2 linked regions of the Coturnix japonica genome follow. The protein of the gene in region 2 interacts with the protein of the main gene of each other region in a pairwise test. Links are inferred from orthologs where the notes say so. Each region holds a gene or a part of one and is shown on either strand. Other genes may lie near its edges.

Region 1 (4,213 bases), on a different chromosome or scaffold from region 2:
ACAATAGTGTATGTAGTGGCCCTGCCAGGCAGGGAGGTTGGAACTACACGATCCTTGAGGTCCCTTCCAACCCGGCTCATTCTGTGATTCTGTGATAAATAAGTACATTTATTTCAAAGAAGCACCAAGCACATAAAAAAAGGAGTTCAAGGCCAGGCTGGACGGGGCTCTGTGCAGCCTGTTCTAGTATTAAATGGGGAGGTTGGTGGCCCTGTCTGTGATGGGGGGGTTGGGGATTCATGATCCTTGAGGTCCCATCTGTGAAGTGCTCCCCGATTTCTAAGCCAGGCAGTGAGGCGTTATAAAGACAGAACCGTACAGCCACACTCTGCTGCCAGACTTACACAGCTCCCCAGCTGCTGTTGTCAGCGTCATCCCTGCTCCCCCTTTGAGAAAGGTTCTATTCACAGAAGGGTGTCCATGGCTGGAAAAGCATTCCGAACGTTCTATGCTTTTTTCTGCCATAATGCCTCTTAGTAACAACTTCAGGCTCCCACACAATGTAAATGGCGACCGGGCTGGTTCTGATCCGGCGGCAGCTAACTGCAGCTTTAAAACTCCATGTTTTGCTTCCCATAACTGACACTACAACATCAGCGGGTTTCGCTTTCGGACACTGGAACAGGCTGCCCAGGGAGGTTGTGGATGCCCCGTCCTTGGAGGTGTTCAAGGCCAGGTTGGACGGGGCCCTGGGCAACCTGATCTAGTAAATGTGTATGTTTGGTGGCCCTGCCAGGCAGGGGGGTTGGAACTACATGATCCTTGAGGTCCCTTCCAACCCGGGTCATTCTGTGACACGTTCAATCCGCAAACAGCCGCGTCACACCCGCCACCTCCTCTCGGTGCCCCCACGCACCCCCACCTCCCTCACCCCCCTCCCCCCCATGTCCCCCCGTTGTTTCTCACCGCGCTGCAGTGTCACCCCGCGCTGCGGCTCCCGCTGCCGCCGTCCCCTCACACTCCGCTCCCGCCCGGTGGGGCCGTGTGCAGCCCGGCCGGCTCCGAACCACCCCCAGCACCGTGCTCTCTCACCCGCTTCTCTCACTGAGCTGGCGACCCCACCAGCAGCCAATCAGCGGCCGCGCCGGCACCTCCCCGACCAATAGGCGGCCGGCTTGAGGGGAGGCGGGACCTCAACCGCCCTTCGGCTGGGTGTCCAGCGACCTTACCCGGCAGCCACCGCGTCTGATTGCGTCCATCGGACACGTGACCGGGCTCCGCCAATAAGAGGCGGCGCTGCAGAAGGCGCCGTTGGCTGCGTCGTTGTGCTGCTGCCGTGCGGCGGACTACAGTTCCCAGCGCACCTTGCGGCGCAGCCGTTGTCCAATCCCGCCTCGCCGACAACAAGACGAGCTATGATTGGCGGAGAGGCGAGGGCGGCGCCGCACCAATCGCGTTGCGGCGTGGAGGGATGTGTGGGGTCCGAGCGGGCCCGGTGGCGGAGCGGGAGAGGTGTGAGCTCCGTGTGTGTCCCGGTGTGTGACCCCTGATGGCGATGGGGGCCTGAGGCTGAGCTGTGGCGGTTTGAGGACGGCTCGTTCAGCGGTACGAGGCCGGGAGCAGTGCAGGCCGCTACGGGGGGCAGGGGTGGGAGCGGGAGGAGCTGGGCTGGCCGGGAGGGAGGTGCGGCGAGGGGACCCGGCCTTTGGTCAGCGGCCACGGGGCTCCCGGCTGTAATAACGGTGTTGTGGGGGGTGGAGGAGATGGGAACTTCGGTTTTAGCTTTGGTTGTGACTGAGAAGACAGAAGGGGGTGGAAGGAAAAGAGTGGGACATGGTGAGGAGGGGTAGAACTTTGTATCACAGAATCAGAATGACCCGGGTTGGAAGGGACCTCAAGGATCATGTAGTTCCAACCCCCCTGCCTGGCAGGGCCACCAAACATACACATGTACTAGATCAGGTTGCCCAGGGCCCCGTCCAACCTGGTCTTGAACACCTCCAAGGACGGGGCATCCACAACCTCCCTGGGCAGCCTGTTCCAGGGCCTAACCACTCTCCTAGTGAACAACTTCCCCCCGACATCCAACCTAAAAATTCCCTCTTTTAACTTAAAACCATTTCCCCGTGTCCTGCTATTGTCAGCCCTTTCAAAGAGTTTACTCCCCTCCTGGGTGTAAGTTCCCTTCAGGTATTGAAAGGCTGCAGTGAGGGCACCCCGGTTTCGTGTGTGTGCAGGAGATCAGAAGAATAACGATAAAGTGGATAAGGATGAATAGAGCTGGAGGAGGGATCTGGTGCTCAGGATATGACTGGAAAGTCAGAGGCTTTTGTTCGCATTAACTTCAACTCATTTCATTTGTAGGCTTTGAGTAAGTTTTGTTGATCAGCTAAAGAATGTACCGAATAACACTGAACTTCATAGAGACTTTTTAGCAATTTAGAGCCATCTATTTTGAGAATATAAAGTATTCATTATGGTCTGAAGTTCCCAGTCAATCTTGCTAGGACATAGTACAGTCAAAGGGAAGAACATGGAGGGGAATGATTGACTTCTCACATTTCCTTTACCAAAGGAAGAACCAGTGACGGAGAAATTAGCAGGTTTTTATTTAATGTGAAAATGTGAGAAACTATTGGACACTTCTACACGTGCATCTACCAGCAGCAAGAGAACAATATAATATATGAATGGTATTATTTGTTTGGGAAATAATGGTAAAAGATTGTTACCAGTTACAAATTCAGTTTTATTTCTATACAGGGGGAAAAAGAATGCAACTTAATATGTCATTATTCATGCTTTTGTGCCTTAAAATAAAGCTACTTACATGAGTTTCTAGTGGCAGCACCAAGGACCACATTCCATAGTTTTGGAAGCACACAGTCTGTCTTTTGAAGTAATCATACAATGGTTTGAGTTGGAAGAGTTCTTATAAATTACCCATACCATTATGATATATAAATACCCGTATAAATTTCAACCTCTGTGCTGTGGGCAGGGCTGCCACCCACCAGCTCAGGCTGCCCAGGGCCCCATCCAACGTGGCCTTGAACACCTACAGGGATGGGGCATCCACAATTACTCTGGGTAGCTGTGCCGGTGTCTCACCACCCTCTGAAGTAACAATTTCTTTCTGAAATCTAACCTGAATCTCCGTTCCTTTAGTTTGAATCCATTCCCCATCGTTCTGTCACTATCAAGATGCAGACCTTCTCTTTTATCTAAGCTTATGCTTCTGTGGCCTGTTAAGTAGTTACCCCTCATTAAAACAACTGTGGAATCAGACACTGACACGTCTCATTTGAAATTAATATTGGCTTGCACTTTGGCTGAAGCAAGGTGTGACCTGCTTTTTTTTTCTTTATTGAATGCAAACTAGTCAGAAGTTTCAAAAAAAAATCACAACACCTCTAAGTATTTTGTAGCTTTAAATGGATATGGTGTTACACAAGCTGTGTGGGGCAGGTCTCTTCTCACTAGTGACAAATGACAGGACAAGGGGAAATGGCCTCAAGTTGCGCCAGGGCAAGTTTAGTTTGGATATTAGGAAGAGCTTCTTTACACAAAGGGTAGTTAGGTACTGGAATAGACTCCCCAGGGAGGTGGTTGAATCGCCATCCCTGGTTGTGTTTAAGAGCCGTTTGGATGTGGTGCTCAGGGATATGATTTAGTGTAGGGTTGTTAGAGCTAGGGTACTGGTTAGGCTGCGGTTGGACTTGATGATCTTCAAGGTCTTTTCCAACCTGGGTAATTCTATGATTCTATGATTATGCTTGATGCTGGGTTAATCTTTTGCTGCTTATTTGGTTCACTTTTATGTGAAATTTGATTACTGCTAAAGGCACTGAAAATTCAGGTTTTATTTTGCATGTTTATACAGAAGGATGTTTGTAGACTTGTAGTCTGCATATTGGGTGTGAGACAACTATGGAGTTTCTGATCATCTTTATCAGTGCTATAAACTATGTACTGTTATACATATCGGTGCATGTATTTGAAGGAAACAAGAGAAAATGTGATTAACCAAACCCTATCTGCTTTCCACAGGGGAAATTTAAGTTTCCAGCTGAAAAGTTCTATGATCATTATCCTTAGAAATTTTGTTCCTTGAGGCTTCTTTTTTTTGTACTCTTATGCCTGTAACAAATCAATGCATTTATGTTCTTACCTTATCTCTGCTCTAATTGATAGCGAACATTAATACCATATACATTTTTTTGACAGGTATTTTGTACGTGTGGTGTAGGAAAAAATGAATTCCACTATGAGT
Region 2 (4,300 bases):
CTGTACCAACAGCTGACTGCACAGTGAGTGAAACTTGGGGAAGGAAGAGTAAATGAAACGGTGTTTTAAGCACATTCCTGTAGATGGGTGAGGCAAAGCATCTTCAAAAGATGGCTGCAAGCAGCCCTTTTCTAGTGATGCTTTTTCCTGCTCTCTGAAGCACAGTTTTGTTAGACCAAATCCAGAGCTGGGGGAAAGCCTCTTTTGTTTTGAAGGGGGGTACTTTCATTGTGGGCATCAGGACCTGGGATGGATGCTGGGGTCATGATTCACAGAACCACAGAATGGATAAGGTTGGAAGGGATCTCTCATCAGGCTGAGTTTAGATGAACCTTTGAGCAACTCAGTGTAGCTTTGCTAATTGCTCTAAGTGAGATTAATTAGGTGTGGGATGTTTCTGAGTATTGGCTTTTTAACTGTGCATTAGCTCTGTACTTTTCTAGCCCTTCGAGTGGCCTGCAGTAATCACAGGTTTGGGTTACATACAGGCGCTGCCTTCAGTGATGGCTGGGGAAAGTGTCAAAGCCTCCAGACAGCGTTAAAGAGACCAAGCTCCTGTCACCATGGCATTAAAGAGACCAATCTCAGCCCCCTCTGTCCCTGCTGGGGACTTTGAACCAAGGTGACAGAGCAGAGTGCCTACCTCCATCCAGCACCTTGGGAAGCGCTGCTGGAGTGTTTCCATCCAGCACCTTGGGAAGCGCTGCTGGAGTGTTATCTGCACTTATGGCTCTTACAGAGCTTCACCTGAAGGGTTTTTGTTCACTTTTTGTTAGCCTCAGGCTGCAGACTCAAAGCAGCACACGTGTTGTGTTCCATTTATTTCTCTTTTGACCAGTTTTACAGCAGAAGGGGTCATAGAGGAGCAGTGGTTGAGCACTCAGGGCTTGTCTTCTCAAGGCTCAGAGAAGCAGACAGAGCAGCAGCAGGCAGAGGAGGGAGCAGAGCTCATCTCATTGGTGCTGTGAGCAGAACAAGGAGGGGATTGGGGGTGAGTTGAAGCAATAGGAGCCCAACCAAGCATCACCCTGAGCCTGGATTAGCAGCATCCTCATGTTAACACCCCAACCAACCTGTCACCTCCCATCTACTGCTGTGAGCGGGCTCTAATGGCACCTGTACCCCGAGGACTTATTTTATATTGACCTGCCGCGTGTTTTCTATTTGTATCCTTACTGTATTTCCATTAACCTTGTGTTATTCCTTACGGGAGGCGGGCGGTGCTGCTTTGTCCTCCTGGTCTCCTGTGCTTCGTGACGCTCTGGCCTTAAATCCACAAGCGGGTCAGAGCCGATGTGTGACAGCAGCACCATGTGGGTTAGCAGCGCCGTTTGCGGGCTGTCCGGGCCTCTTGTAGCCGCTCATAGTTAAACCGATCCCACCAGCTCCGCCTGCGCTCAGTCCTTTCCAACCGGGGAGGGTCGGCCGCTCCGCCTCACGTGTTACCCATTGCTCTATAGCGGAAGCGGAAGTGTGAGGAGGGAGGTTCCGCTTCCGGCTCGGCTTAACCCGGCCCGGTCGGCCCCGGTTCGGTTGGGTTCGGTAGAGCGCAGCGTTATAACGGGATGGTAACAGTGTAATAGCGAGACCCAGCGGCGGAACATGAGGCCGGAGCGAGGCCCTGGGACCCGCAGAGCGCAGCCCTGATCCGACCCGGGAGAACGGACCGAACCGAACCGATAACATGGCAGCAGAGTCCGTAAGTACCGGCAGCACCCAGCCCCCGTTATCCACACGCTGCCCCTTCGTTCAATTCATAACCCCCATAGTGAGTTGATAATGCAGTGATGTAAGTGCTATTTTAAGGTTAGAGTGTGGGGTTTGTGTGCGTAGTGATAAATTCTTAATGGACTCGATGGTGAGGACACGGGGAAATGGTTTTAAGTTAAAAGAGGGAAGATTTAGGTTGGATGTTAGGGGGAAGTTCTTTCACAGGAGAGTGGGTGAAGGCCTGGAACAGGTCTGCACAGGGAGGTTGTGGATGCCCCGTCCTGGAGTGGTCAAGGCCAGGTGACGGGCATAGGGTCAAACCATCTATCGGGTGTTCTATGGGGTCTATGGGTCTCTATGGGGTCTCTATGGGGTCTATGGGGTCTGTGGGGTTCTATGGGGTCTGTGGGGTCTATGGGGTCTCTATTGGGATCTATGGAGTCTGTGGGTCTCTATGGGGATCTGTGGGTCCTATGGGGTCTATGGGGATCTATGGAGTCTGTGGGGTCTCTATGGGGATCTGTGGGGTCTATGGGGTCTCTATTGGGATCTATGGAGTCTGTGGGGTCTCTATGGGTCTCTATGGGGTCTGTGGGGTCTCTATGGGGATCTATGGGGTCTCCTGGGCAACCTGATGTAGTAAATGTGTATGTTTGGTGGCCCTGCTAGGCAGGGGGGTTGGAACTACATGATCCTTGAGGTCCCTTCCAACCCGGGTCATTCTGTGTGTGTCTGTGAGATAAGCAAAATAAGCTGTTTGGATTCCTGGCTTTTGTGGTGTTTGCTGCCTGGTTCTGTGCAGTGTCCTCTCCAAAAGCCAATGGTGGAGCTGTGAAACTGGGGGAGGGAGAACAACCAGAGACAGAACTTCTTAGGATCCAGTTTAATTAGTAACCAGAGGTCACAAAAACACTCTGTTTCTGTAAACGCCCCCTTTGATGGTTCTGGTGGGCCCTCAGTTTGGATAAGCTTTGAATAGACTTTGCTGTTGTTCTGTCAGCCCCGCTTTTAAGGATCATACAATTAAAGGTGCCTCCTCTAAGTGTGACTTCTGGCTTCGTTTCTCTTCTGGGCTGCTCACACAACAATGGTTTCCTCCTTTTTATTTGTAGTCTCTGTTCCTGAGCACTTATAGATTTCAGTCCTGAAATAGTGCAGTCATGCTTAAAAGGCCCCTTAGTAACTGACTCACTGTTGGTTATGTTCAACTAAAGCACAGTTTGGTGGAATCGGAGCCTTATTTATCAGTAGGTTCCCGTATTCCTAATTAAAAGTATCTCTAAGCAAGTCAGAGATCAGACTATATGTGACAGTTCCCAGTGTGATAGGTCATAAGAAGGGCAGCTGACTTTGAATATTAACTGTGCAATGTGGCTTCTTTTAGACGATCCCCATTTGGCAGAACAAGCCCCATGGCTCGGCGCGCAGCGTGGTCAGGAGGATTGGATCCAACCTCCCTTTAAAGCCCTGTCCCAGAGCGACCTTTGAGGTAAGCTTGCTCATAAGGAGTTTGGTGATTGTGGGTAGGAAGCAAAGCAAGGCCCACTCATGAACTGCTGCACCATAAACCAAATGTAGGTAGACCAGCACTTGCAAAACTTTTATATAGCTGTGTGTTGTGACCTCATGCAGCTGCTGAACCTATTTCCTAAGCAGTAAGGAAGGTTAATGGAAACACTTGTGTAACTGTTCAAGCTCAAGGACTTGTAATGGCAAAGTGTTGCACGTGGCCTGGGCGGTGTGTTGAGCAGTATCAAATATCCCTTGGTTGCTTTGCTATTTAGGCACCGTAACACTGAGGCACCCAAGAACACACATTGAAACCAACGCAGTGGAGCACTATGTTTCTGTACAGTAAACAGTGTTGCTGTCATGCATTCTGCAGTTGTGTTTGCTGGCTTATTGTAGAGTAGAAAGGCTCTGACAAACAGGAAAGCAAATCCAGAGTGGCTTCAGGAAACAGAACCACCATTTCCTTCATGTTACTTTCTTCTTTGTAGGTTCTACCCAATGTTTCAGAGCTCTATTTAAACGATGCCCCTCCTGTCCCCACCCTGGCAGACATTGGGTGGATAGCAGCAGATGATGAAGAAACATATGCCCGAGTCAGGTTGGTTTCATCTTTGTGTCTGTTGATCCTTGTTTTTATTAAGTGATTTAGTTTGTGTAGCACAGGTCAGAAATTGATCCAGCGCTCACGACCTCTGGTCTCCAACACTGAAGTGATGCCTGTCCAAAGGTGTTTTTCCCAAGGACTTCTGTGTCATTTCACCATGTCTTGTGCTGTTTGATTGTGATTTCTTTGACTTTCTGTTCTTTGCAACGCAGAGAGACAGCACATGTGATGGTACAGCGCATCCAAACAAGGTGTAGAGCGTTGTAGTATAAGAGAAACCACAATTTATTGTGTTGAACTGTTTTGCTACCCCAAGGGAGGGGCAGAGAGATGCTGGTGTGGAGGGCCTTGGGTTCATCAATGACCACCAGGTCTTTGTCTTGTAGAAGTGACACTCGCCCACTGAAACACAAATGGAAACCGAGTCCCTTCACGGTCATACAGCGAAATGCCTCCGTCCCCAACCTGAGGAAG

Evidence for each region. The genes of interacting proteins can lie anywhere in the genome.
Region 1: the proteins of MTFR1L (region 2) and ARMC1 interact in binary tests that used the Homo sapiens proteins (3 or more experiments, as listed by UniProt). The two-hybrid records come from large-scale screens. The link is inferred for Coturnix japonica from reciprocal best matches to the Homo sapiens genes MTFR1L and ARMC1.

Annotation. Positions count from the first base shown.
Region 1 is NC_029517.1:103,982,469-103,986,681, reverse strand, and holds the start of ARMC1 (armadillo repeat-containing protein 1), read left to right. Parts: upstream 1-1,382; 5' UTR 1,383-1,545; intron 1,546-4,167; 5' UTR 4,168-4,195; coding exon 4,196-4,213.
Region 2 is NC_029538.1:2,042,563-2,046,862, reverse strand, and holds the start of MTFR1L (mitochondrial fission regulator 1-like), read left to right. Parts: upstream 1-1,488; 5' UTR 1,489-1,684; coding exon 1,685-1,699; intron 1,700-3,094; coding exon 3,095-3,199; intron 3,200-3,710; coding exon 3,711-3,820; intron 3,821-4,212; coding exon 4,213-4,300. UniProt on the Homo sapiens protein: Mitochondrial protein required for adaptation of miochondrial dynamics to metabolic changes. Regulates mitochondrial morphology at steady state and mediates AMPK-dependent stress-induced mitochondrial fragmentation via the control of OPA1 levels.